4 linked regions of the Elephas maximus indicus genome follow. The protein of the gene in region 2 binds, or shares a complex with, the protein of the main gene of each other region. Links are inferred from orthologs where the notes say so. Each region holds a gene or a part of one and is shown on either strand. Other genes may lie near its edges. The genes, in order: BET1L, STX5, STX18 and STX7.

Region 1 (6,878 bases), about 12 Mb from region 2:
ACGGAGGGTGGGGGGACAGAGCAGGGCACGGGGGCAGGGATGGCGGTACAGGACAGGTACTACGGGGTGCGAGGCATGGAGAGGGTACGGGGCAGGGACTGGTATGTGGGGATCAGAGATGACCATGCGGGAGGGTGGGCACAAGCCAAACACAGGGTGTGGGCAGGGGACACAGCTGAGGTGGGGAAGGCTGTAGGCCCCTACCATGCTGTCCAGGTAGTGGTTCTGGTCCTCTGCATCCCTGTCAATGTCCAGGGCCAGCTGGTCAGGGCACAGAGAAGGCAGGCTCAGGCCAGGGCCACAAAGAGTGGGCGGTCCCCACCCTCCCTGCAAGACTAGCCAGACCTTGCCAGCAAACCGGCAGGACATGGGTGCCGCTGGCAAGGTCAGGTGTCACCCAGAACCTGTGTGGTAGGTAAGCATGGATGGGGTGAAGAGAGGGATACACTGCCTGGAACCCCCCTCCAGCTGGCTGCCCTCCCTCAGGTCCTGCCCACAACTGCACAGACCGACTTGAGCCGGGTGACCTTGGAGGCCAGGTGGTCTGCCATCCGCTTGTTCTCCTGGTCCAGAATTTCATCCACAGCCCCAGGGCTCTGAGCTGCAGAGAGAGAGAGGGAGGGATCGCATCACCAGTGGAAGCCCCAACCCTGGAACTCGGGGAGCCGACTCTCTGCGCCTTCATCCATCCCACTGGACCCAGGTAGACATGTCAGTGGGCCTGAGTCCCCTCCATCTGTGACCTGCTGGGCAGGTGTGGGTCCTAACCTGCTGGGCAGGTGTGTCCTAGTCTAGGTTCCAGTGTGAGGTCCGCAGGTCTTTCCCATAGGACAATCTGTGCAACAACGTGCGAGTGCACATCCCATGTACATGCCCGCGCAGGACGCATGGAACGCCCCCCCGTGTGCCCCCGACGGGCTTGTCCAACCAGCACTTTCTAACCTGACTCTGCCAGGACCTGGACCAAGCCCAGGGGTACTGGGAAGACACAACACCTGCCTGTGTGTTCTTTATGTTCACCAGACAATCCTCAAGAGCAACCTGGAAGGACCCCTGGAGGGTACAGGGAAGCTCCTGTGTGGGCGGCCATGAGCTGGGTCCTGAAGAGGTGACAGGTGGCCGGGGACCTTGGGTAGCCTTTCACACATGGGAATGGTCAGGAGCTGAGATACCTGACCCCAAGGGCATAGCTGGGTCTGTGCACTGTGTTTGCTCCCCATTGTGACTGCCTGTGGCCCGACAAACCCATTTTCCACTCTCCACTTTGGGGCTGGGCCAGGAGATGCAGGATTCGCATCACAGCGGGTGGATGAGAATCGTCGCCCCGCGCACACCTCACGCACCTGGGTCAATGACGTCTACGTGACCCACTGGAGTGCAGCACAGCCCCACAGGAATGACGTGTAAAGACCCCTGCTGCAGTACAGTGAATCGCTTAATATGGCCCTTCTAGTCAACAGTTTTTGTAACTGCAAATAAGGTGCTTATGACCTGCCAAGACGATTGGATAGCTTACTGATCATGCAAATAAGGTGCACAGGACCCTACGGAGGTGTGATCATGCTAATAAGGTATATAAAACCCTAATAAGGGGACTGGTCAGTTTTGCCATCCAGCTGGACTTAAACAAGCAGTCAATTCCAGAGCAGAGTGGGGTTCTCACTACCACCAAAAAAGAGCTAGGAGTGGAGCGCATCCTTTGGACCCGGGATCCCTGCTCTGGGAACGTCCTGGACCCCGAAGACAGAGAGAGAGAGCTGTTAACACTGGAGATAGCAAGAAGCAGTGGCAGCAGAGGCAGCAGAACCAGGAGACTGGCAGGAGACGGTGCAGTGGGCTTGCCCACCCACAGAGCCAGAGAGCTAAGCGTCTTCCGGCACAAGGCTTCCTGGCGGACTGGGGTGCCTCCAGGTATTCGCTGGCAGAGCTAAAAGAGCTTTGTAACACTTGGATGAACAGGTCAGAGGCGGGGGGGCGGGGGGCAGAGAAAGGCCTGTGGCAAAGAGGCTGTCTTGATCCCAGAACTGTATCCTGAGCGTTCCTGATCCTGAATTGTAACCCATTACTTCCCTAACAAACCTTAACTACCTACGAGTCTATGAGTCCTGTGTGATCATTGCAACCAATTATCGAACCCAACAGAGGAGTACAGAGTGCCGTGGGAGGGGCAGCTGGTGTCAGAATTGGTAAAAGGGTTGATGGGTGGAGGCATGTCTGACCTCCACCTCAACGCAATCAGCCTTGTGCTGCTGGTGCTGACCTTTCTCCTTCCCACTTGTGAAGTCAGAGGAGGTCAGAGGCCCCGCCACACCATTTTACACCCGGGGAAGGAGAGCCAATTGTGCGAGGCATCTTTCATGTTCTCTACGCCTTTACGCGTCAGGACAGTCCAATGGGACAGGTATCAGAACCCCACTTAACAGACGGGAACACCGAGTCGGTACACAGCCCCCCTTAACAGACGGGAACACCGAGTCGGTACACGGCCCCGCTTAACAGACGGGAACACCGAGTCGGTACACAGCCCCCCTTAACAGACGGGAACACCGAGTCGGTACACGGCCTGTCTGGACCCTCCCACCGCACAGCCTCGACTCGGAGGCTCACGGGTCCTCGCACCAGCCTCTCGGACAGTCGCCGGGTGGCCCGTCCGAGGCCCCATCCTAGGCCCCAGGGGCCCTGGGCGCCGCACGAGTGGGTGCGGGGTACGCTCTGCGGCCGGGACCGAGCGGCAGGGCCCTCAGCGCCCGCGGAGTGCGGCCCGCTCCCGCCCGGGGAGGCCCCGGAGCCCCGGCTCCGCCCGCCGCGGCGGGGTCGCTCCCGCGGTGTTGCCCCGGTTCCGGCCCCGCCCCCCGGTTCCAACAGCCGTGCTTCCCGGCGCGCACCTCTAGCCCAGTCCGCCATCGCGCCCAGTTCCGGCCCGGGCCTCGGTCCCCGGTTGGGCCGCCGCCGCCGCCTCCACGGACGTGGCACTGGGCACCGGAAGAGGCTTCCGGCCCCCACTGAGCCGTGGCCCCGCCCCGACCGGCCACAGCCCCGCCCCTTCCGCCAGAGCCTCGCTCGACTTCCGGCTGAAAGGAGGCGGAAGTGAGTTCAAGTTGGCTTCAGAGCCCGCGAAATGGGGGCGCGGCGGGGTTGTTTGCTTTTGGTACCGCTTGGTTGCCTTCTATTTTTAATGGCAAATCATGGTCCCCGAAAGGCTCTTCTCTCGGTTATTCCAACCAGAGGTGCATCAGGCAGTAACGTAGCGCCAGGCTAGCCAGTAAATACCGGGCAGCTTTTACAGGCTAGGTGCGGGTGGCGTCCCGCCTGCCTGCCTGCGCTCCGCTCTGGGCCGGGCTCCGCGACCGGGGCGCCCACCGTCCTAGTGCTGCAGACAAGCCAAAGCTGCGGCGCGTTAGGGACAGCATCGCCCTGGTGTGGCCTGGGGATGGTTAACCTCTGCACACCAGCTCGCATCTACAGAGCTGACAGTGCTTAGGACAGTGCCTGCACCGAGGAAGCTCTGTGTGTTTGTTAAAGTAGAGGCGTGAAGAATCGTGGAAAAAATAAAGCAAGGAATAGGGGTATTGGTGATAGGTGGGGACTTTGAACTTTGTCCCTAACAAAGGGCCTGGCACGAAGTAGATGCTCAATGTTTATTGAAAGAATAGATGGGTGGATGCGCCGTATTTATAAGTTACCCACCGTTACGGACCATTTTCTGTGTGCGAAACACTACGTTGAGTGCTTTGCACTTAAATGCATTTAATCCTCATGATAACCCATTGAGACGGGCACTTTTATTATTCCTGTTTTACACAAAAAGAAAACCGCGTCCAGGCTGGGCACCAGGTCTGGGTTACACATGGAGGAAATCGCCGCACACGGTCAGGCTCCCCTCTTCATCCCTGACCTCTTCCCCACTCCCCCTCGTCTCAGCTCCAACGGTAACTTCCTTTCCCCATCCCACCACGGTCATTCCCACTCTTGGACAAGCTATTCCTTCTGCCTTGAACGACCCCTCTCAGGCCTTTTCCTGGCCCCTGTTCTTGTCATTCGTCTCAGCAAGAGGGTCACTTCTTCAGAGCCTTTTGCAGCCCACCATGCACTGGAGATCACAGGACTCTTGGCTGCTTTTTGAATCATGGCACTTATGACCGCCCAGTCATTTGTTTTTCCTGGTCTGTCTTCCTCTCTAGAAGACGAACTTCAGAAAGGCAGGGACCCTAGCACCTCGCATGAAATAGGAGCTCAACAAAATCCTGTTTATCAAACCAATTGGCCCCAGGACTACAAAGTTCCACCTCGGTTGTCCCCCTCCCATTCGTTCGGTGGATCAAGAAGGGCGTTAGTGTGTGCGTGTCGCGGGTGGGGGGACGAGGCCCTCTCCTGTTGGAAATTCTGGCCCAAGGAGCAGTCGGGGGGTGGGCCATGGTTCTGCACTGAGCGACTCGGACTCTGAGGTCAGCCGATAACCAAGCCGGGTCTCGTAGCCTAGTCGACTTCAAGGCCACCAACACCACCCGGACCTCTCCGCGGCTCCGCGCATGCCCCGTCCAGGCCCCTCCCGCGGCTCTGCGCATGCCCCGTCCAGGCCCCTCCCGCGGCTCTGCGCATGCCCCGTCCAGGCCCCTCCCGCGGCGCCGCGCATGCCCCGTCCAGGCCCCTCCCGCGGCTCTGCGCATGCCCCGTCCAGGCCCCTCCCGCGGCGCCGCGCATGCCCCGTCCAGGCCCCTCCCGCGGCGCGCGCATGCCCCGTCCAGGCCTTCCCCGTGGCGCGCGCACTTTCGGTCCCGGCCTCCCCCGCGCGCGTGACGCTGGGTCGGGAGGCAGGGCGGGGTCGGCTCCGCGGCTCGAGGGCCTTCCGCTCGCCGACTGGAGCCTCCCCGCGCCGGTCCCAGCGACGCCATGGAGCCCCGGGCGGTTGCGAATGCCGTGGAGGCGGGGGAGGAGGCCGCAATGATGGAGGCCCTGCGGACGTACAACCGGGAGGTGAGCGCGAGCCTTTGACGGGCCGGGCACTACGGTGGGCGCGCCGCGCGGCGGGGCTGAGCCTGCGGGACGGGCTGTGGGGGCGTCTGCGGGCGGGGGGGCGCGGTGGGGGGCGTCTGCGGGCGGGGGGGCGCGGTGGGGGCGCGCGGTGGGGGGCGTCTGCGGGCGGGGGGGCGCGCGGTGGGGGGCGTCTGCGGGCGGGGGGGCGCGGTGGTGGCATCTGCGGGCGGGGGGGCGCGGTGGGGGGCGTCTGCGGGTGGGGGCGCCGGGCCCAGCCGCCTGCTCAGAGTCGAGGCCGATGCTGCCGCCCCCCTGCGGGCGCGGTCCTGCCCCGGCTGGGGAACCTGAACGTCGTGATCCCTTGATCTCTCTCTGCAGAACTCGGAGAGCTTCACGTTTGAGGACGCGCAGCGGGAAGACAGGAAGGTGGGTGCTGGCCGGGGGTGGGGGGCTGGGCGGGGGCGGGCCTGGTGGAGCTGCTCCTCTCTCTGCAGAGACTGGCCGGCCTGCTGGTGTCGGCCCTGGAGCAGGGCCTGCCGCCCTCTCGACGCGCCACTTGGCTGCAGAGCCTTCGCATCCTGTCCCGGGACCGCGGCTGCCTGGACCTGTTCACCAGCCGCCCGAGCCTGCAGGCCCTGGCTCGCTGTGCTGGCATCTTCGTGTCCGAGGGACCTGACCCTGAGTCTCCAGACATGGACATTGTGCTTGAGGCCCTCAAGTGCCTCTGCAACCTCGTGCTGAGCAGCCCCGCGGCACAGGCGTTGGCTGCCCAGGCCTGCCTGGTAGTAAGGCTCTCAGAGCGTGTGCGGCTCTCCGGGCAGCGGAGCTTCCCGCATGATGTCCAGTTCTTTGACTTGCGGCTACTCTTCTTGCTGACGGCACTGCGCACTGACGTGCGCCAGCAACTGTTTCGGGAGCTGCAGGGGGTGCGCCTGCTGACCCATGCGCTGGAGCTGACGTTGGGGGCGTCCCCAGAGGAGAGCCCCCCTGAGTTCCTCCCTGCACAGGAGACAGAGCGGGCCATGGAGATCCTCAAAGTTCTCTTCAACATCACCTTCGATTTGGTCAAGCAGGAGGTGGATGAGGTGAGGGCTCAACTCACAGGTGCCTTTGATTTTGTGGGCATCAGATGAGAGAGGATTGGGGTTCCTGCCTCTTGGAGAAGAGGAGGGTCCCTTTTGAGGAGGGGCCTCAAGGAAGGCATTGGAGGGAGGCTGCGAGGGGAGGTGGTTTCTGGTTCTCCAGGCCCAGCAGGAACCAGAGTATGTGGTAGGAGAGGAAACAGGATTTCATCCCAAGGGACTGTGTTGACGTTCTTAGTTGGAAAAGTGCTGTTAGGAAAAGAGTAGAGGCTATTTAGCCCCACTGTTAGTAAAGTAAAGGTCACATTGGAGAGGACAAGGGCCCAGGACTAGGCTTGTTGGTAGGCTCAGTGGATGGAAGAGCCTTAGCTGGCAACAGCACGGGAGTGGGGTTCTTCTCTCCTCTAAGAACATGTTTCTGGTTAGGATGATGCTGCCTGTTACCGGCATCTGGGGATCCTTCTGCGGCACTGTGTGATGGTCTCGGCTGCCGGCGACCGCACGGAGGAGTTCCACGGGTGAGGGAGGGGCTTGAGGTGGGTAAGTGGGGGTGTGGGGTATGGGTTACAGGTGGGCGGGGCCTTGAGGTGGGTGGGTGGGGCTGTGGGTGGGGCTTCAAGGTAGATGGGGGTGGTGTGCATGTGGGCCTGCCTTGGCTGGGAAGGGGATGCTCAGACAGGGTTCTCAGTCTTGGCTGTGGATCGGGAGGCGGGGCAAAGAGAGCAGAAGGGACCCACCCTAGAGTCTGATTTCACCTGTCTGAGTGAGGTGGGCAGCAGCACCATTCAGAAATACCTGGGTATTCCTGGCACCACCAGGATC
Region 2 (7,330 bases):
ATTCGTGAGCAGATAACGTCTGAGCAAAAACTGGAAGGCATGTCTTATTCCTGAACTTTCCCTTTTTAAGCCATGCCTCTGTATACACAGTTTTCTCTGTCTGGAATGTCCTTCCACTGCTGCTACACAAGACTTGAAACCAGTTCAGATTTCATCTCTGCTATAAAATCCTTCCCAGCACCCCCAACGGGTCTCACTGATCTTTTTGTAAGCTCTTTTCTGTACCACTTGACTCCTACTCACTGTAAGTATGGGTTCATGGGGCTGGATACCTCTTCTAGACAATAAGCCTGAATAAGGAATAAGGAATCTTGTCTCATGTTTTTGTCACCAGTGCCCAGCATAATCCTTTGTACCTTGTAGGTTATCCAAAAGTATCTACTGGCTCAATGGATGAGTAGGATGCTTGGGGCTGGCTCTAGAAACTTGCTCTGGGCTTCCACAGCAATGGAAAATGATGGAAGTGATCTGACCGATGGCTAGTAGCTCACCTGTTTGATGATGTATGTCAGCTCCTCGATTTCCACTGCTTTATCATCAAAGAGGGACTTGCGCTTTGCCACTGCAGGGACAAGTGAGAACCCACAACAGGTGAGGTCAGAAACAGGACTCAGAGTAAGGCTCCCCAATGTCTTTGGTTCATTGCCCCACCACAAAAGGGTCCCCCAAAACACTCACAGATTGTCAGCTTCTCCAGCTTGGCAAATGTGTTGCTGAGATCTTTCCCAATGCGCCTGCAAATGAGCATTAGTGAGAGCACTGTAAGAAAGGGCAGGAGAGTGCCTATTCCCGCATCAGCTCCAGCACAGCCAATCCCAGTCCTCACAGCCAAGCCTATCAAAGGCAAGCCCACTTCTGCTCAGACACAAGAGCGTACCACCACACCGCTTCTCTCGACTCACTTGGCCATGAGGGTGAATTCACTGCGCTGCCGGACAGCACGCAGAGCTGGCTTGTTCGTTTGGATTCCATTCTGAAAAGCAATGTCAGGAGGTGACAACTTTAGCTCTCCCTTCCTCATTTCCAGACTTTACTGCTCCTCAGATGCCCACTAAACTCCTTCTAGTGATGAGCTCCTTAATCAGATAGCCTAGATTTACCAGCAGTAGTAGTTTAAGAGCTCAGATTAAAGACAAGTAGATCTGGGTTCAAAGCTTGACTCTCACTTATTAGCTGAGAGACTTAAACCATTTTGAGTCTTTGTTTCCTCTACTCTAAAAGGAAAACAATTCACCTATCTCCTATTATTGTTACTGAAACTAAATGACAAAAAAGCTGTAAAGTATTTTAGACAAATATTGAGCATATTATAAATACTAAACTGGTAGCTGGTACTGCCATTCTATTCTCAGAATCAAAAGAGAAGTATAACTAGAAGGTTTGGAGATCATGTGGATGAGCAGCTATTAGCAAGAGCTGAACACGAAATATACTTAAAAATAGTTACCCAGATCCCACTTGGATTTAGGAATCTGGACTTAGACAAACGAATTTGCCTTTTAAAAGACACTCTAAAGCAATTCTGACAAAAATCACTGATCTAGAAAACTTCTCTCATTTTAATGACAGAAAAACTGAGGTCCAAATAGTAATTAACTTCCTCACGGTCACAAAACAAACTTCTGTTAGAACTACGTGGGAACCAGAATTCAAGGTGCATGCCTCCCAGCTAAAGCGTATTGCTAGAGCCTGTTACTTATCCAAATCAAATACAGTGCAGCCACCTCTGGCCCTGAGGGATTCCTCCCAGAACAACAGCCCTACCCTCAGGGGGTTCTTCACAGAAGTCAAGGTCCTTGCCTCCAGTTAGCTAACCTGCATCTTCTCTGCTGCTTAGTAGATCCCACAGCCCCACACATGAGCCTGCCATAAGGATCCCCCAAGAACTACTTCAGCAAACAGTGCTGCAGCCCACTTCCCCACCGACTACGGCTCACCTCTCGCCTTTCCCACTCCAGGTCCTTACCTGACGGCTCTGCAGGGACTTGCAAGCAGACAGGAACTCTTGGGTCCGGTCCCGGCAGGACATGGCGTCGGGAGGGGGAGGGACTAGGGCCACTGGGGGGGGCAGAGGGGCGATGTCGCTGCTGCCACTGCCAGCAGTTGCAGGGGACAGGACCTGTGTCTTTGAGAGACCCAGGTAGACACCCTGATCCGTGTTCTTAGATCCGTAGCGTTTCCGCGGGATCATTGAGACGCATAACCTCGGACTGTTGTGGAGGGCAGAGTGTCATTCCCCAGGCAGCCTCCATCCCCACAAGTTCCCCCCGACCAGCAAATCCTCCGGCCCTTTCTGCACCTGGCACGGACTTTCGCGCCCAAGGCCGGCCCGCAGAGGGAAGGCCCCGCTTCCTTCCCGGCTCAAGTTGTCCCCTCCTCAGACCCTTCTTCCAACTTGGCTCGGTCGGCCAGGGCGCGGGCCTGGGGCCCTGAGCGCAGCCAGGGCCAGAGCCACGTCCCGTGGCCCTGAGGCTACAGCTCGGCAGGTGCAGCTGCCCCAGGCCTTAACTGGGCCGTCCCGTACCCCTGGGCTCCTTAAACTCCTCAGGGGGAAACGGTGACGGACTTCCTGACCGGGACACACTTCGGTGGGCGGAGGGGGGAATCTCTAAGTGTTTATTTGAAACAGGAAGTCCCACCCCCCGCCCAAGTTCCGCCTCCTGGAGGATTGCAACCACTGATTAGCTAATATCGACGTCTTTCTCAACAGGAACGTTCCTGATTGGACGGTCAAGCATTCGCTCACCGCCCCCCCCCCCGGGCCGGCAAGACTTGCCGGCTCGTCCCCTGTTCCCCTCCCCCCCGTCGCCGCCCCCAGAGAGCCGCTGTCCCGGAGCTGACACGGCGACCGGACCCCCTCTTAAAGCGAATCCTACCTCCTCACTGCCGCCGGCCGCCGCTGCCTATGCCACAGTCTCCTGGGCCGTCACTGCCTCCTCCCCGAGAGCAGAAGCCGCCGAAACCCGGCCAAAGATTGGAAGCCGCCACGTCACCCACACGTAACCCCGCCCCTGGTGACGACAGCGCGGCGCCACGCTTTTCCAAGCCCGGCGACCCGGCAGACACGCCCCTGCCCGAGCGTAGGCGTGACCTCACCGTCCCATTGGCTAGGCCGATACCGTGACCCCGCCCCAGAGGAGGGAGCCCTTGAGCACCGGGGGGCTAGGCCAACCTTAGGGTAGGAGTCTTAAAGAGCCCGCAGCCCCAGTGGTGCCGTCGCCCGGTGCTCCGAAAGTGGCAGTGGAGAGTAAGCGCTCGCGCAAGTCCGCGTTAGAAATTTTATTCTCTGGAGGCTGGGGCGAACTGAGAGCAGGTCTGGGGTCACCCCTTTTCTGACTCCTCCTGGATCCTCTCCGGGGCGTTCTCCGCCTTCTGACTCCCCGGCTTTTGACTCTGGCCTGAATGCTTCTTGTTCGACCGTGAGGAGCCCCGACGGCTGAACAGGGATAGCCGCCGCCACAGCACAGTGATCAGAAGGCTTTCGCTCGACTTGCGATTCCGGCGGCTCGGGGCGTCCGTGGCATCAGTCCCTTCGGTGCCTAGGGGGTCCACGAGGCCGCTGAGCTTTGCTTTACCATCCCCTGTCCAACCTCCCTGGCCATACCGCTGGGGCAGCCTCCTCTCCCGCGCCCGTGCCTGTCCCCCTCTTCTGCATCTCTGCTCCCACCTTCCACGGAGTCGGCCTCCCTGGTGGCCTCATCGGAGTCCTTGTCTTGGCAGCAGCCCATGGCCCCCCGCGGCCCGCACTCCGTGCCAGCCCCGCCAGCCCACCCGCCCGCCCCGCGGGCCCTTCGCCGGCTTTTGTGACGTCAGAAATCGTGCCGCCCCAGCTCTCCTATCCCAAGCCACTTCTTCCCTTTCTCCCATCACAAAAGGCTCAGGTCATGGCGGGTGCTGGGATGTTTATTTACAAAGTGGGTACAGGGTTTTCAGGGACTGGTGGATCTAGGTCTCTTCTTTCTTTGCCTGGCTTGTTGGGCCCCTTGGCTCTGCTTGAAATTAGGGAGCTTCCGCTTTGCAGCCGCCTCCAAGGAAGCCCAAAGTTCATCCGTCTCTGTGTCTTCTGGGGACACCCTGTCGGGTTCTTCAGGCTCTTGGGGCTCATCCTGGTGAACGGGAGGAAAGCTGAAGAATCAGGGGCAAAGTAACAGACCCACAAGGAGGCCCTAAGCCAAAACTAAACCCATTCCAACCAGTTGATTGCAGTTCATACCGACCCCAGAGGACAGAGCAGAACTGCCATAGGCTTTCCAAGGCTGTAATCTTTACAGTAGATTGCCACACGTTTCTCCTGAGGAGTGGCTGGTGGGTTTGAACCACTGAACTTTTGGTTAGCAGCGCAGTGCTTAATCACTGTGCCACCAAGGCTCCTCTGTGGAAGCCCTAGTGGGAAGATAATCCCACCACCACCATCATCTTTATTTTCTGCACCCGGGACACCAATTCGGTCCATGCTTTTAGACATGTCACTCTTGGCAATAACTTTGTCAGGGCTGACTATTAAAACCTGTCAGAGAAATGAAATAATCTGGCAGGCAAGTGGACAGCTCCAGATCTGGGTTCCAGCTGCCACTTTTTTCTCTCTGAGGGAAATCCTCACATACATGCCCTTTGCTCTCACATTCCCAGATCCAGTAGCTCACCTCCCAGTTGTCCCTGCCCGACAGAAGGAGGCAATTCAGCCGAGACTTGAGATAAACCTGCAAAAGATGAGGGGACTTAAGGAGCCCAGGCATGCTGAAGTAGATGGAAAAATGAATGGGGGCACAGGTGCCAGTGGGCTCCAGGAACTGTGAACTAGGCAGAACGGGCAAGGCTCAAAGGTTCGGGCTCTCACCTTATGCTCCAGACCCCGTGGGTTCCGTATCCTGTGCACCCTCAAGACTCTATCCAGGCCGCAGGAGGCTAACAGGGGCTTTGAAGGGTGGCACTGCAACGCTCGGACACTGCCTGCCAGCCCCTTTAGACAGCCTAGGAGGCGCCCTGGGGACAGCAGGGGTATCAGTGTTAGCTGGCCAGCCAACAACCACGTATTGTTTGCTGTTCTGATCACTTTACATCTCAACATTTAGTCCTCAATGTAACTCAGAGACAGGAATTACCAGTAATATCTCCATGTTACACGTGAGGAAACTGAGGCACAGAGAGTTGAAGTAATTTGGCAAGGCCAGCAGCTTTTGGTGAAAACAGGATTTGAACCCAGGCAATGTGGCACCTGAACAGAGCTAACAACCACTCCATTGCATTGCCTCAGAAGGAATTCTGCCTTCTTCCCCACCCTCACCCTCTAGTCCACTTACCTTGCCGAAGGTCAATTTCTGCCAGCTGCCCATGCGTGTTCCCCACAATCACCGAACTGAAGAGACCAGAAGCAAGTGCGTCAGCAGGAACCTCCCGGAGCCGTCCCTGAGCCCCCGCCACCCACCTTTACCCCTCCAGGCACTTACTTGCCCTCAGGAGTGAGGGTCATGGCTGTCAGCGGATATTCTCCATAGGTGGCCTCAAGGACTGGCCGGCGCTGGGGGGAGGCTGGATCATAGACACGGACCTGGAGGAAGACTGAGTCATCATAAGAGTACCCTCAGCCCGCACACCCTCCTTGGGCTTCTCCACATCTTCCTGTGCTGTTTGTTTATGACCCAGTCTCAGACCAACCTGTGAGGTGGGCAGGTGTGGTGAAATAAGTTCCTTTATGTGGCCTTTTGCCTTGGTTCTTAGGAAAAACAGCTTGAGATTTTTCCACTAAGCCCTGAGGGGTTACCTTTGCCCTGGTTTTCTACCTAAGGGTTTGCTACTTCTGTCCATGTTGACTAACATTTCCTGGGTAAACTGTAAACGGCTTGGTTTGATACTTCTTGTCTGGTCCTGGGCTGTAGCCTATCCTGTGATAGGTATGCACCTTGTAAGGACTGATCAATATACTATGCAAATCAAGTGACTACAGACTATGCAAATCAAATGACTATGGTCCACAAAGGGGATTGGTTAGTCTGTGGCCCTGCCGGGAGGGCCATACCTTGAAACTGATAAGGAGTTTGCTTATATAAGTGGCCAAACCCACAGAGGTTTCAGAAGGGAGAAAAGACAAGACAGGCAAGAGAGAAGCAGCAGACAGGAGGCGAGGAACCTCCTAAAAGAGCTGTAACACAGGTGAAGGCCTGTAACACTGAAGGCATCAAGAAGCCCAGAAGGGGTCTTGCGACACAGCCAGTGGCAACAGGCCCAGGTTGGCCCTGGGGGAGAGTTGAAAATGACAGCAGAAACCTTCAGCTAGGAATGCAGCTAAGCTGAACAAAGCTTTTACACTGGCTATAAGCTGGATCAGTTAGCAGCAGAGAGGCTGACAGCAGGGTGGCCAAAGGCAAAGAGGCGTGCATGGCTGAGGGGGCGTGTATGGCAGAGAGAAGGGCCTGCTTGCTTGCATGGCCAAGAGGCGCCGGGAGCTATTTACACTGAAGAAGGGAGTGATGTGCCTTCCACCTCAGGGGCGTCTTTTAGACTTTGCTTACATGCTTCCGGATCCTGATCCTAAGTTGCAGCCTGTTGATTCTGATATCCTGTTACTTCCTTAGTAAACCACTTAACTGTAAGTATGGCCTGAGTTGTGTGGCTGTTCCAATGACTTACGGAACCCCGCAGAGAAGCAGAGTGCGCCATGGGGGCAAGAGGGGATGCGGTTGGCTGGTGTCGGAAATGGTAAAGAAGTTGGAGAGGGGGGTATGTTTGACCTCCACCTCATAGGAATCAGCTTTGGGCTGATGGTGATTCTGTCTCCTCCTCCTGAAGTTAGAGGACTTCAGGCGCTACTAGAACATTTTTTTAGCAGGATTGTGAAAACTGAGGTACAAGCTTACTTAGAAGCATAAATGGACAGGGCTGAGGGACAGGTCCCCTAGGTTGGGGAATAGGGCAGCACTGCCACGGTCAGCATTGCATGCCCTCCCTGCAATCTGCCCATGTAGGGGGAGGAGGATGGAAAAGCAAGTCAGTTCAATTGTCAGAAGGTGCTGAATTCCAAGCAGAGAAATTCAGCCTGAACAAGGGAGGAGAGAGGAAGCCCTCCTGTGGGTTTTGAGCAGAGGCATATCACCAAGATTAGACTTCAAATATGCAGGAGTGAAGGAAACAGGGCAAAAAACAGTGGCCCAGCCCTGTCTGGGTCTTAGGACTTCAAATGAAATAACTGTCATGTTCCCCAGTCCAGCCCTTCATGTACAGCTGAGGCCAGAGATGGGAAGAGGGCCTGGGCCCCAATGCAAACGAGAGGCAGCATCAGAACCCAGAACCTAGTTCTCTACACTGCCAGCCCAATGTCCTCTCATGACACCTG
Region 3 (7,376 bases), on a different chromosome or scaffold from region 2:
AGCAACTGCAACGTTAAAACACAGTTCTCGGAAGTGTGCGTGTTCGCCCTACGGCAGGAGGGACAGCGGCTCCGAGTGACACAGCTCCCGTCCCTGCTTAGCAGGATCTCCAAGTCTTGACACCTCCCTGAGGACTCAGAATCAGCAGTGTTGACGAATCAGTGATCTGAGAGTCGGAACGCTGTAATTGGCTGCTGTCCAGTTGGCTCTGACTCAGGGCAGCCCAGGCACCACGGAACGGAACAATGCCCACTCCTGCACCGTCCCCATAAGTGGTGGCGAACTGGACAGTGTTCCAGTGTGATCCACAGGGTTTTCATTGGTTGATTTTTGGAAGATCGCCAGGCCTTTCTTCCTAGCCCACCTTAGTCTGAAAGCTCCGCTAAAATATACCCAGCATCATAGCAGCACATAAGCTTCCAAAGATAGAGGGGTGGTGGCTGCTCGTGAGGTGTACTGGCCAGAAATTAAACCCAGGTCTCCTGCAAGGGAGGAGAGAATCCTACCACTGAACCATCAATGCCTCATTCAGAGTCACAGAGGTACCCAGGAACGGCCTCGGCCTGACTGGGGGCAGGGGAGGAAGAATGTCTTGATTTCCCTTCCTCTCATTTCCATCCAAGAAGCCCCCCTTTGATCTGTTATATATAAGGGATCACTGTAGTTTTTAAAAGCCTTCTTTTAATAAGAACAAAAAAGGAGGGCACCATTTGCAGGTAAATAAACTGAGGTCATAAAACTTGCTTAACAGCAGCATCACGCGGCTAATGTGGCAGGGTTAAGCCAACAGCCTGGTCTCCTGGCTCCTTCTTGGGTGTCTTTCTACCACATAATACCTGACTGCCTACAGGACGAAGTCCACACTCAGCAGAGTGGTATACAAGGCCCTTTGAGATCCGCCACTGCCTGCCCCTCCAGTTGAATTTTTCTGGGTGTCCTGAATTCCAGTCACACTCAAATACTAATTGAACCAACTTATGTTAGGCTGTTACCTATCTCCATGCTTTTGTGCACACTGCTCTCTTAGCCTGAGATGCCCTCCCCCAACCTGTCTGAACAGGAACCAAATCTTTCGAGACTTGTTCCAGGCATGACTGGCTCTAGAAAACCCTTCCTGGTCCTCAGGTAGAACTGATCACACTCTCCTTTGTGCCTGACACATATTTCTATCCCACCACCTACAAAGTTTTATGGCACTTGTTTTGTTCGTATGTCTGCCTCTGCCATCACTCCTTTTCTATCGTGTTACCCTAACACAGTGCTGGTTAGAAGGTAGGTGCTTAAAAGATGCTTGTTAATGAACTAAATGTATTCATCTAGCCTAATCCCCCTTCTAATGCTTTAATATCCCCTGCAAACTGCCCTTCGTTGGTTCATGCATGCATACATTGATTCAAAAATACCTGAGTGTCTACACACTGCCAGGCATTGAACTGCGTGCCAAGCTAACGTGGATTTACTGTGAAGTTGATATTAGAACCTTAAACATCAGGGCCCCTCACTTATACTTTTCCCAAAGCTCTAAACCTGATTTTTTCTGTAATTTTGTATTTTTATTTCTCACAGAGGGCAGACAAAACTGTATGAGCTTTAGACCCCACAAAAACTAGATCCATTTTTGGTGCCAAGGATACAAAAGTGAACAAGGCAAACATTTTCTCTCTTCTTACAGAGTTTACTGTTTAGTGGGGGAAGGCTGACAACCATCTGTTCATTCATTCACTCAACATTTACTAAGCAATGCTATGAGTCAAGCATTGGGGATTCTGAAATGAAGCCAGCACTGTTCCTGCCCTTAAGGAGAAGGTCCCTGCTCAGAGAGATGAGGAAAGCTTGCAGTGTTCAGGAAACAGAAAGTAGTTTGGATGACTGACACATGGAGTGTTTGTGAAAGCTGATCCTAAACCAGTCTCAAGAAGTACTGAATTCTCATCCTTCAGCCAAAGATCAGACAAGCCTACAAAACAAACAATAATACACGTAGTTCAACCATGTATATGAGACTAAACGGTCACACCAGCCCAGGGGCAAGGATGAGAAGGCAGGAGGGGACAGGAAAGCTGGACCATTGCAAATGGGGAACCCAAGGTGGAGACAGAGAGAGTGTTGACATGTTGCGGGGTTGGCAACCAATGTCACAAACCAGTATGTGTATTAACTGTTTAATGAGAAACTAATTTGCTCTGCAAGCTTTAACCTAAAGCGCAATAAATTAAAAAAAAAAAAAAAGTGCTGAATTCTATCTACCTTGTGCCCTAACCTCCTGCAGGAGGCCAGGGGAGGGGAGAGGACAGCTGAATCAGGCATGGCCTTTAATCTCAATTCGAGGAAGGACGATGGGACAAGTGAACAGAAGAGGCGATGGCAGCGTGGCCGGCGAGGCGACAGGGGAGCAGGGGGCTGCGGGGGAGCTGCCTCCGCGTCCAGGCGCAGTGACGGCGAAGTCATTGCCACACACACCCGGGAACTCTGCAGACGCAGGTTTCCGAGCGCCTCCTTCCGCCCAAGACAAATCGGCTTCCTTAATTTCCCCAAACGCATGGCGTTCCTTTCCCCAGACAGCTGCCGGCTCTCAGAAGCCAGCTCGGCTGCTCCCTCCTGCGACCCCTTCTTCCAGGCGTTTCTTTCGCACAATGCCTGCGGGACCGGGTGCACTTTGGGGGTCTAGGGGTCCACGCCGCGGGTCCGCGCCCGGCTCCCGCCCGCCGTTTCCATAGCAACCAGCTCACCACTTCTCGGGCCCGGCTGGAGAAGTCTCCCTTGGGCCGAGGGCTCCGGCGGAACAGCTCGTCGCGGCTGCCATCTGCCCCGCCGCCCACCGCCACTCCCAGCGCCTTGTTCCGCGTCTTCACGGTCTTGACGCTGGCCCGGAACAGCAGCGTGATGTCCACCGCCATGGCGACCCGCACCCGCGGTCCCCACAGGGCCCCCCACGTCAGCAGCCGGCGACGCGCTGCGAACCCGGCTGCGAGAGGACCGTTCTCTCCCGCACGCCTCCGTCCAGCAACCGCAGCGCGAGGAGAAAGGTTCCGGCCTCCGCCGAGCTACCGCGGAGCGAGGAGAAAGGTTCCGGCCTCGCGCTGGCGCTCGGGGCGGATCCCGGAAGCTGCCTGGAAGTGCTCACCGGCGTCCTTTTCTTCTCCCCGAAAACCCCCCGGGCTTGGCCGCGCCGAGTGACTCTGGGTCCCCGACCGTCGTGTACGGCTTTGGGGAGTATGGGTCCGGGACAGCAGGATCGGAAAGCCGGACGGCTCGTTCCTTTCTCGTGGCTCCCGCCCTGATTGAGCCTGGGCCGGGCGAATCTCGGGGGACGCGGAGGCCAAACGGGCTTGTCCTTTGACCTCAGGGGGTCACAGTGTGCGTGTCGCAGGGCAGGGACAGAGCAGTGTCCAAGGGACACGGATGGAGCAGCTCGTCCCTAAAGTGGAGCCGACCCGTCTCAGGGTCGTTGTGAGAATTGTCAGTTAAGGCGTGTGAAGTGTTTTTGGTGTGGCCTGGCTCCTAGGAAGTGACCAGTAAATGTCGTTGTTGTTGTTGTTAGGTGCCGTCGAGCCGGTTCCGACTCAGCGACCCTATGCACAACAGAACGGAACACTGCCCGGTCCTGCGCCATCCTCACAATCGTTGCTATGCTTGAGCCCATTCTTGCAGCCACTGTGTCAATCCACCTCGTTGAGGGTCTTCCTCTTTTCCGCTGACCTTGTACTCTGCCAAGCATGATGTCCTTCTCCAGGGACTGATCCCTCCTGACGACATGTCCAAAGTATGTAAGGCGCAGTGTCGCCATCCTTGCTTCTAAGGAACATTCTGGCCACACTTCTTCCAAGACAGATTTGTTCGTTCTTTTGGCAGTCCATGGTATATTCAATATTCTTCGCCAACACCACAATTTAAAGGCATCAGTTCTTCTTTGGTCTTCCTTATTCATTGTCCAGCTTTGACATGCATATGATGCGATTGAAAATACCATGGCTTGGCCTTAGTCCTCAAGGTGACATCTTTGCTTTTCAACACTTTGAAGAAGTTCTTTGCAGCAGATTTGCCCAACGAGATGCGTCTTTTGATTTCTTGACTGCTGCTTCCATGGCTGTTGATTGTGGATCCACGTAAAATGAAATCGTTGACAACTTCAATCTTTTCTCCATTTATCATGATGTTGCTCATTGGTCAGTTGTGAAGATTTTTGTTTTCTTTATGTTGAGGTGTAATCCATGCTGAAGGCTGTGGTCTTTGATCTTCATTAGTAAGTGCTTTAAGACTCTTCACTTTCAGCAAACAAGGTTGTGTCATCTGCATAATGCAGGTTGTTAATGAGTCTTGCTCCAATCCTGATGCCCCGTTCCTCTTCATATAGTCCAGCTTCTCAGATTATTTGCTCAGCATACAGACTGAATAAGTATGGTGAAAGAATACAACCCTGACGCACACCTTTCCTGACTTTAAACCAATCAGTAGCCCCTTGTTCTGTCCAAACAACTGCCTCTTAATCTATGTAAAGGCTCAGCACGAGCACAACTGTTCTGGAATTCCCATTCTTCATAATGTTATCCACAATTTGTTATAATCCAGAGTCGAATGGCTTTGCATAGTCAATAAAACACAGGTAAACATCCTTCTGGTATTCTCCGCTTTCATCCAGGATCCATCTGACATCAGCAATGATATCCCTGGTTCTGTGTCCTCTTCTGAAACCAGCCTGAAGTTCCCTGTTGATATTCTGCTGCAGCCATTTTTGAATGATTTTCAGTGAAATTTTGCTTGCGTGTGATATTAATGATATTGTTTGATAATTTCCGCATTTGGTTGGATCACCTTTCTTGGGAATAGGCATAAATATGGATCTGTTCTAGTCAGTTGGCCAGGAAGCTGTCTTCCATATTTCTTGGCATAGACGAGTGAGCACCTCCAGTGCTGCATCTGTTTGTTGAAACATCTCAATTGATATTCCATCAATTCCTGAACCCTTGTTTTTTGCCAATGCCTTCAGAGCAGCTTGGACTTCTTCCTTCAGCACCATCGGTTCCCGATCATATGCCACCTCTTGAAATGGTTGAACATCGACTAATTCCAGTAAATATTAGCTGCTGTTAATATTATCCTTATTATTTGTGGTGGGGAAGAGGATCACAGAGAAGTTACCACCTGAGCAGAGATTTGAAGGATGAGTAGGAATTTATCAACTGGATATAAGGATGAAAGAGTGCCTCTTGTGTCACCAATCGCTAACTCAAGTCATAATATTTGCTTAAGTTGGCTGCAAGTCAGCTGTCATGAATTGAATTGTGTCTGCCCCTCTCCCCCCAGTATGTGTCAACTTGGCTAGGCCATGATTTGCAGTGTTGTGTGGTGGTCCTCCATTTTGTAACCTGATGTAATTATCCTCCATTTTGTGATGTGTTGTAAATCCTAACCTCTATATGTTAATGAGGCAGGATCAGTGTGAGGTGGATCTTGAGTCACAGCTTTACTTAGCTCACACCCCTACTCCAGTCACACCCTTGCTTGAGTCATACCCTTGCTTGAGTCACACCTTTTATCTTATACGAAGTAATAAAGCAGCAGCCTTTGATACTGTGGGAAAAATCCCACAGTGGAGATCACACCTCAGAGCTTGTATTTTCTTTTTCAGGCAAGACAAGTAAGCCACCGAGTGCTGGTTCAAACTAGTTCAAGAGACCTACAGTTAAATTTGGCTCATTAATTTCCTCGTAGGTACCAATTTTTCCACCCCTAAAAAAGCAAAGAAGGAGCCTTGGTGGTACAGTGGTTAAAACGCTCAGCTCTTAATTGAAAGGTCGGCAGTTTGAACCCACCGGCTACTCCCTGGAGAAAGATGGAGCAGTTTGCTCCCATAAAGACTTACAGCCTTTAAACACATGTACTGTGAAGTTTTATGTAACCCCCTGCCGTAGCATGATTTAGAATGTTGCTGTTGTAATTCACATGATCTCCCTGCTTGTAAGCTCTATAAAAGCGACCTCCCTAAACTTTATCCTTGAATAGTCTTGGAGACACCAGCCCCGACTGTTCCTTTCCTTGCAAGGAAATAAAGTTGCCTTTCTGATCTCCCACCTCAGCCTCTTGTTTATTGGCTTTGATGAGTTGCATCGAGCAGGACCTGGAGTTCCTGGCAACAATAAGAGGAGAGAGAAGTGAGCAGAAAAGGGAGGGACCTCACAACTACGAAAAAAGAGCCAGAGCAGAGCACATCCTTTGGACCTGGGGCCCCTGTGCTGAGAACCTGCTAGACTCACGGAACGATAGATGCCAAGGCACATGAAGATCTCCAAAGGAATGCCAGGCCCACAGATGTTGAAAGGAGACAAGGATCTTCCCCTAGAGCTGAAGCCCTGAATTCAGCCATCTAGCCTCCTAAACTGTGAGAAAATAAATTTGTTAAAGCCACCCACTTGTGGTATTTCTGTTTTAGCAGCACTAGAGAACTAAGACATCAGCCAGTTAATTTTTTCTGAATTTTGTTTCAACCAACCAAAACCAAACACATTGCGGTTCAGCCGACTCCAACTCAGAGCGACCCTATAGGACAGAGTAGAACTGCCCCCCAGGGTTTTAAAGGCTGTAAGTCTTTATGGGAGCAAACTGCTCCATCTTTCTCCAGGGAGTAGCCGGTGGGTTCAAACTGCCGACCTTTCAATTAAGAGCTGAGCGTTTTAACCACTGTACCACCAAGGCTCCTTCTTTGCTTCGAGGTCCAGTTTTAATTAAAGACCTCATTGATAAGCAGGTTTGCTTATTCTTTTAAAGAGGATGCACAACTATGTTGTTGTTTTTAGTTGCCATCGAGTTGATTTCTGACTCATGGCAACCCTGTGTGTGCAGAGTAGAACTGCTCCATAGGGTTTTCAAGGCTGTGAACATTTGGAAGATCACCTGTCAAGTCTTTCTTTCCAGGCACCTCTGGATGCCTTTGAACCTACAGCCTTTTGGCTAGAACTAGTCTAGCACTTAACTATTTGTGCCTTCTTGCAATTAGTATATGTATTAAAACTGGTTCTTAAAGCATTGTTATTGTTAGGTGCTGTCGAGTAGGTTCCAACTCAAAGCAATCCCATGTATAATGGGATGAAGCTGGTCCCTCCCGATAACATGTCTGAAGTAAGTGAAAGCCTTGCTATCCTAGCTTCTAAGGAGTATTCTGGCTGTATTTCTTCCAAGACAGATTTGTTCATTCTTCAAAAATAATCAAAGTTCAGTGTAGTTGAAATATAAAGTTTATTCTGGTAGGCTATTCTATAAGCATATAGGAAGACCATTCAGATTCTGGAAAAAAAAGCAAGTGGCTCAAAGCAAACCAATTACAATGAGGTTTATAAAGAGAGGAGGAGGAAGAAGAATAGAAGATCAACTATTGGATG
Region 4 (7,501 bases), on a different chromosome or scaffold from region 2:
GGATTCGAACTGTTGACATTTTGGTTAGCAAATGTAGATTGTTGTGGCTTTTAATCACTGTGCCACCAGGGCCCAGAGGTGACATTAAAAAAAAAAAAAAAAACACACCAGTGCCATCAAGGTGACATGGTGACATTAGCATTTGTTAAAGGAACATTTTGAGCCCTACTAGGTCCAAGGCACCTGGCTGAATTTCACTAAGTAGCAGGCAGAAACGCCTTTAGAAGACATGTATCCTCTAGTCCTCTGAATTTTGCAGGGTTCCCTGTACTTTTTTTCTTTCCATTTGAATACAAAGAGGTAAAATCTCATTTTTAGTTTTTCAAAAGACCTGGAAAGAATCCACTCATAACGTATTTTAAAACATGGGAAATTGGAACAAGCCCAAGAAGAGGAGTCAGACAGCTGAGATTTGTCCCCAGTTCAGTCAGAAGTTAGCAGGATAACCCAAAGAGGCCACTTAGCCTCAGGTTCTTTTTCTATAGTGCTTAGTACCTTCCTCTCCCACAGCCCAGGGTTCTATCAAAGGGACCAGGAAAGGATGTTTGGGAAGTGCACTAGACTTCATGTAGATGTAAGTTGCTTCATGACATTTTCTCGAATGATTGAGATACTTCTTCCTAAGTTTACCAAAGACTTCCTAATTCTCAAGTGCACGACTTTCAGTTCTTCGTTTACTTGAACTTTCTGTGATATGTGACATCATCACAGACTATTCCCTTTTTGAAATGCATTCCTTCATTCTCTACTTTACTTTTTCCTGATTTATTTCTGATCTCTCTCATTACAAATCTTTGCAGGGTTTCTCTTTCTCTGTCCATACCTGAAACATAGGTAGTTCATAACATCTGACCCTTCAAGTTAATGAGCTCATCTCTTACCATAGCTCCAACCAGGACTCTATTTTGAATTTAGCTCACATTTTCAAGTGCCCGATGACACTGGGCATGTCCTACTGGATATCGCATCCCCAGAATCTTTTTTCACTGTTGTAAAAATACAGATAGCATGACATTTGCCAATTCAATATTTTTCACGTATATGATTCCATGACACGAATTACATCATTCCCCAGAATCTTAAATACAACACCTCACTTCACCACTCCATCCTCAAACTGCAATTGCTTTCTTAGTAATCTTAGATTTTAGATAACTACATCATATTCACCTCAGTTTTGCATGTCATAAGAATAGGAGTTATCTCTTCATTCTCCATATTTAGTTGATTTCCAAGACTTCTTAAATATTTCTCAAACCAATCTTCATTTCTTCTCCAATGTATTTGCCTTACTGCAGTCCTTGAATATCTCTAATACTAAAAAAAAAAAAAAACTAATACTAAAAAAAAAAAAAAATACTAAGGAGACTCTTAATAAGGGAATGTTACTATTACAACAGCCTTCTAAGTGGTGTCTCTCCACCTTCAGTTCCCTTTAATTTTCCCCACTTCTCCAGAATTTTCTTTGTAAAGTAGAATTATGAGTGCATCACACCCTTGATTAAAATCCTTTAATGGCTCAACTTCTATTAGATCGTCATTTAATATAATACAGAAGCTTTTCATTACCTAAGCCCAAATTGCCTTCCAGATTTCCATCTGTTATGGATTGAATTGTGTCCCCTGAACAATATGTTGAAACCTGAACCCCCGTACCTGTAAGTAAGGCCCTGTTTGGAAACAGGGGTTTTCTTTTATTATGTTAATGAGGTCATACCAGAGTAGGGTGAATCCTAAATCTAATTACTTCTGAGTGGTGTTTTATAAAAAGAGCAGAATGGACACAGACACGCAGGAGGAAGAGATCATTCAAGGAGTTGTCTACAAACCAAGGAACGCCCAGGGCTACTGATAAGGAAGCACTTTCCCTTAGAACAGATGGCCTGATTTTGGTTTCTAGCTTCCAAAACCATGAGGAGATAAATTCCTGTTCTTTAAAGTCACCCCGCTTGCAGTATTTTTTGTTATGGCAGCACTAGGTAACTAAGATATAATCTGCTATGCTTTATCTAAATAAATTTATGTATAGATCCCTAAAAGTTTATGATTACCTCTGATTTCATGAACATTTATATGCTCTTCCTTTTGCCTGGATGTCCTTTCCCTTCTTGTCTTCCTAGTGAAATTTTACACAACTTTTTTTTTTTCAAGGTTCTGCTGACAATTCTTTTTGGAGTCCTCTGTACCCACAGTAAGGCACCTCCATTTCTGGGCTCCCACTGTGCTTTGTACAAATCTCTATCATATCACCTTTTTACAATGTCCAGGGAAGGATCTCATTCTTTGAGCTCCCTGAGGGGAAATACTATATCCTATTGATCATGATATCCACTGTGCCTAGCACAGTGCCGGACACCTGGCAGGCTCTTGGTGAATATTTGCCAAATGAATGATGATGGAAAGAACTCTAGACTCTGAAGTAGGCTATAGGGACCTGTGCTGCTCAAAATTATCTGTGTGGCTTTAAGTTTCTTTGGGTTTTAGTTTCTTTAGTCTGTGAAAAGAGGAAGTAGTGCTAGATTTTCTGTAATGTCTTTTCCACCTTTGATACTCTAAGGTTGATGTGGTTGTCTGTTATAGAGGTTGACCACCACCTGTCTCTCAATTTGTTGTGCTGTGGTAGTCTGCGTGTTACTATGATACTAGAAACTATGCTACCAGTATTTTAAATACCATCAGGGTCACCAATGGTGGACAGGTTTCAGTGAAATTTTCAGACTAAGACAGTCTAGGAAGAAAGGCCTAATGATCTACTTTTGAAAGTTAGCCAGTGAAAACTATATAGATCAGAACAAAATATTGTCCTACTGAACTCAAACATGCCAACGATTGTGGAGAGGGCACAGAATCTGTCGACATTATGCTCTGTTATGCATAGGGTTACCATGAACTGGAGCCAACTTGATGTCAGCTAATAACAACAAAGAGGCTGAAACACACACATTTTGTCTGATCACAGAATGTTTTATGAAAATTAGGAATACTGGAAGGAGAGATTTCACATAAAAATCTGAATTTCCATCATATCTTCTGAAAAATCAGATAATTGGACAATACTGGTCCAATTTTGCTGAAAGGCTGTAGTTGATTCTAGCTGAATCATGCTGTCCCTTTGGATGGGGTGTGTGCTTTCTCCTTAACCAGCATGCCCACCTCTCCCTATTTCACCCACCTCTTCCTATTACCCCTACCTCATTGAGGCAGTATGTAAGTTGCTGCTTATTATCCCACTTTTAAAGTAGTTTTCTTTACTAAAGATGAGAGAAAAAACATTTCTTGGACCTATTCCTCTGTCAAAATGAGAAAATGAGGAATAGACTGAGATACTTGATGTCTTAGCCCTGACTGACCTTACTAATTTATGTATATTGTTTTTACATATAACAGGAAACCCTGGTGGCTTAGTGGTTAAGTGCTACAGCTACTAAACAAAAGGTCAGCAGTTCAAGTCCACCAGGTGCTCCTTGGAAACTCTATAGGGCAGTTCTACTCTGTCCTATAGGGTTGCTGTGAGTCTGAATCAACTCAACGGCAGAGGGTTTGGTTTTTGGTTTATATGTATAACATGGAGGCCCTGGATGGGGCAAAGGCTTAAGCGTTTGACCACTAACAGAAAGGTTGGTGGTTCGAACCTACCCAGAGACACCTAGAAGAAAGGCCAAAGACCACAGCTTTGACAACCCTATAGAATGCTATTCTATTCTGTACACATGGGGTCACCATGAGTCCAAATCAACTTGAGGGCAACGTTTTTTGTTTTTTGGTATGTAAAACACCAAACACAGCAACCCTATGTGTTACAGGCTAGTAACCTTTACGCAGTAGTAATCTTTATACAGATAACCAGGCCTTTTATTCTATGGTACCAATGGGTGTGTTCAAACCGCCAACCTTTAAGTTAGCAGTTGCCATGAGTTGGAATAGACTCCACGGCGGCAACTAACAACAACAAACACCAAACAATCTAGAATTTTTTCAGGTAGTACCAACCCAAAATGTTCTGTCCCCCCCCCCCCCCCCACACCCAAATCTGGACTTTAAATATCATATATCCTGATGATCCTTTCAGGAACTATCATTGTCTTAATATAGGGAAAGGCCAAGCCAATTTATCTTCTAATTAATGCAGTGAATTATTTTTTTTTCACCTGAAGCAACTGATGCATTGCATTATACTTATGTTTGCATATTTGTCATTAGAACATTCCCAGCTCTTTTCAAACCCTATGAAAACTGCGCCTGACCTTCAAGAATGCTTAGGATGGCTTGTCTGTACAACGAAAACTTGGTTACTAAGTGAGCACACCGAAGTGGCTCTTCACTTACTCTTTCATCGTTCCCGCTAGGTTCGTGTAACGTGTTTCGACACCTTCACGGGGCTGTGAATACGGGTCTATTACCGGTTAGGAAATAAGCATGAGCTGATGGGGCGGGGTGAAGACACGTGTCCAGGAAGACTGGCTTCGCCAGATAAAGAAGACAGCTGCCCTCCACGTCCTCCCCTTCTTTTTTGCAAGCAGGCTAAGGCGTTCATCATCAGTAAGTCAGGCCGAATGAAACACCTCCACGCCAGTGTTGCTGGTACCCCCGCCATTCCTTAGCTCCTAACCAGAAGGGGCGGGAGAGGGACGCTGTCACTCAGCCCCGCGGACCAATGGGAGAGAAGCGAGCCCCGCCTCCTTCCCTGAGCTGAGTTGCAGGCATGCGCATTGGACTTGCCAGCGCCACCGCCCATCAGCTGAGAATTGTAGCGCTCTGAGGGTGGGTGACCGTGTCCGGAGGAGGAGGAAGCAGAGCAGATCTGGGTAAGACGACCCCGGGGAGGGGACGCCCTGGCCCGGTGTCCCGGAGGCGCGGTGCCCCTGCTGCGGCTTCCGCGCCTCCTTGTTTGTGCGCGTTGTCAGGTAGCCGCCGCCCAGCGTTCTGCGGCGGCAGATCGCGAGGGTTGGGCCCGGGCTCCAAAATCGCCAGCTCCTGCCCACGCCCCCTGGCCCGGGGCGGCACACATTCCTGGTGTGCTCGGCCGGCGCCGCGGGGAGAGCAGGGGCGGCCCCGGCCGGCCCGGCCAGCCTGGCGCCCGCCGCGCTTCGCTGCATCCGGGCAGCTGCGCCCGGTCCCGCTGGCAGAGGCGCACTGGCGGGGCGGACGCGGAGCGACGCGGCAGAGCTCCGGCATCCAGGGACCGTCTAGACCAATACTTGTGCCTCCTGGAAACGCTTGGGCCTCTTCCTCTTTTTATCTCGGGGATTTAATCAACACACTTTAAAGTACTCTTCCTGAACAGAGAGGAACTGAAAAATATGTGGCTATAGTAAGCAAACCATGTATGTTTATTGAAGAAGCTCATCGTATTCGGTTTGCTATTTGGTTTGATGACATTGGTTGACACCCCAGCTTTCTTTGACCTTAATACTTGTCTTTAGCAGGTTTACTTAAAGACCTTTAAAACTACATAAAATATCCCAGAAATTTTTTTCCCCTTGTCTTCTAGGTAGCTTACTTTCTTGAAAACCTTTCTCTCTCTCTCTCTCACACACACACACAAATATACAAGAAGAAGAAGAAAAAAGCACATTGCCTTTCTGGTCAAATGCTGTATTTTTTCTTTCAGGTTTCTTACATTTGCTTGGCTCATATATTTACATTACTTTTTGTTTACTTCAGATTATTGTGTCCTGTCTATATAATTTCTTTTTTTTTTTTTTTTTGGTCTATATAATTTAAAACTTGCACGAAATCTGGAAGACAAGCACGTAATTATGAAATATTGTGCTGTTTAGTAACATAGATGGACACTTCTGCTCTGGGGAAGCCTGACCTGCACCTGGGCAGAGACTGGTCACAACAGTGTTAAACTGTGTCTTGTGACAGGTGGCTTTGCAGGCCACTTTGAGAAATTAACCTCCTACTTTGTTTGTGACTAGTTAAGAATTATGCTCTAGTTTCAAAGTTTCTGTGGAAGTTAATATGATACCATATTAACTCATTGTCCACATCATCTTTTTTCTTCAAACATTTTACTTCTTCTCCCAATAATAGTCAGCCCTATAAATTCAAAATAAAGAGGAAATGTTTGAATTTTGGTTATACCCTCAAACTTCAGCTAAGTGCCGGTGATCGAAAAGTAAATCATAAGATACCTTTGTAAGTCTCAGTAAAGTCTGTTGTGATTCCATTTAATTTGACAATTTAGTGTATGAAAGGGTAATCCATGGTATTATAAACTAAAACCAAAGAGTATAATAGTTCAGTGATAGAGGAGCTGAGCTTAAAGAAGTTGGTGGAACTCCTATGCCTCAGGTGCTGTGCATACCACAAGTCAAGGTCTTTCATATTTATATTCCAGAGGTAGGATTAGATAATAAACAGTATACTGATTAAATCATTTTAAATAGTGGTGAATGCTATGAAGCAGTGAGAGAGATTGACAGAGAGTGGCACAGGTGGTGAACTCAGGTCAGATGGAGAAGGTTTCTCTAGCATAAGACCATACTGATAAGAAGAAGCTCCATCACAGTCACATGGAGATCATGTGGAAGAGCCCTCTAGGAACAGGAAATGACCCTGAGCAAAGGCGGGAGGCAGCAGAGAGCCTGGGATGTATCAAGAGCTGCAAGAAGGGACTGGAATTCAGTGTCTTAGAAATAGTAATATTTACCCTCAGACAGAGTGTGTGTTCCTATACTTCTCTTCATTGATTCAACAAATATTTATTAAGCACTTAATTTGTAGCCAGGTACTGAGGATAGAGCGGTCCCCAAAATAGACAGCCCCTCTCCCAGCCCTGGAACTTACATGTTATGGCATAGGGTGGAAGGACGTCCAGTGCTTTTTGCTGGTGCTCACAATTAGGAACATGAAACTCACCATTTCAATCCCTTTGCTTATGATAAATTTAAAGAGCATGAAGGTTTATGGTTAATGCAAATCAAGGATTCTACAGTATGTCCAGTAATAACTGAGGGTAGTGTTTGACATGCAAGATTCTGTTATAAAATTTCCTTTGTTCTTTGTGCTCTTTAGAAGCAGATGAGAAGACTCACTATGTTTATTGCACTTTGAGCCTCCCTCCCCTTATTTCTCTTTATAGTGTTTTTATATCTTCAGAGAAAGATAATTTTTGCGGTATCTAGATGAGCGCCGACTAACAGAACTTTCTGCAGTGATGGAAATGTTCTATACCTATGCTGTCCAATTCAGTGGCCACTAGCCACATGTGGTTATTGGACACTTGAAAGGTGGCTAGTACAACTGAGGAACTGAATTTCTCATTTAACATAATTTTAATTAATTTCACATAGCCACGTATGGTTAGTGGTTACTTCGTGGGACAATGCAAGTCTAGATAATGATTATATACTTGTTATTCTGAGTGATAATAGTAAGTTGTAAAAAAAAAAAAAAAAAGGGCTCCAACTGTAAAAATGGTGTGGCAGCAGTATTGTTGTCTGACCCCATCATCTCACTTCACAAGGGGGGTGAATCAGGATTATCAGCCCAT

The links.
Region 1: STX5 (region 2) and BET1L share a complex: the UniProt entries of both Homo sapiens proteins name them as parts of the SNARE complex. The link is inferred for Elephas maximus indicus from reciprocal best matches to the Homo sapiens genes STX5 and BET1L.
Region 3: STX5 (region 2) and STX18 share a complex: the UniProt entries of both Homo sapiens proteins name them as parts of the SNARE complex. The link is inferred for Elephas maximus indicus from reciprocal best matches to the Homo sapiens genes STX5 and STX18.
Region 4: STX5 (region 2) and STX7 share a complex: the UniProt entries of both Homo sapiens proteins name them as parts of the SNARE complex. The link is inferred for Elephas maximus indicus from reciprocal best matches to the Homo sapiens genes STX5 and STX7.

The regions. Positions count from the first base shown.
Region 1 is NC_064825.1:138,017,412-138,024,289, reverse strand, and holds the start of BET1L (BET1-like protein), read right to left. Parts: upstream 3,007-6,878; 5' UTR 2,905-3,006; coding exon 2,886-2,904; intron 602-2,885; coding exon 510-601; intron 262-509; coding exon 205-261; intron 1-204. Other genes in the region: RIC8A (synembryn-A), read left to right, coding at 4,891-4,974, 5,353-5,400, 5,469-6,059, 6,483-6,574. UniProt on the Homo sapiens protein: Vesicle SNARE required for targeting and fusion of retrograde transport vesicles with the Golgi complex. Required for the integrity of the Golgi complex.
Region 2 is NC_064825.1:125,978,754-125,986,083, forward strand, and holds the start of STX5 (syntaxin-5), read right to left. Parts: upstream 2,881-7,330; 5' UTR 2,877-2,880; intron 2,656-2,876; exon of another isoform or gene 2,300-2,655; intron 2,211-2,299; 5' UTR 2,192-2,210; coding exon 1,967-2,191; intron 974-1,966; coding exon 903-973; intron 735-902; coding exon 679-734; intron 563-678; coding exon 492-562; intron 1-491. Other genes in the region: WDR74 (WD repeat-containing protein 74), read right to left, coding at 3,930-4,106, 4,644-4,700, 4,838-4,983, 5,301-5,356, 5,448-5,548. UniProt on the Homo sapiens protein: Mediates endoplasmic reticulum to Golgi transport.
Region 3 is NC_064823.1:156,987,108-156,994,483, forward strand, and holds the start of STX18 (syntaxin-18), read right to left. Parts: upstream 3,002-7,376; 5' UTR 2,898-3,001; coding exon 2,730-2,897; intron 1-2,729. UniProt on the Homo sapiens protein: Syntaxin that may be involved in targeting and fusion of Golgi-derived retrograde transport vesicles with the ER.
Region 4 is NC_064819.1:201,524,755-201,532,255, reverse strand, and holds the start of STX7 (syntaxin-7), read left to right. Parts: upstream 1-4,497; 5' UTR 4,498-4,805; intron 4,806-7,501. UniProt on the Homo sapiens protein: May be involved in protein trafficking from the plasma membrane to the early endosome (EE) as well as in homotypic fusion of endocytic organelles. Mediates the endocytic trafficking from early endosomes to late endosomes and lysosomes.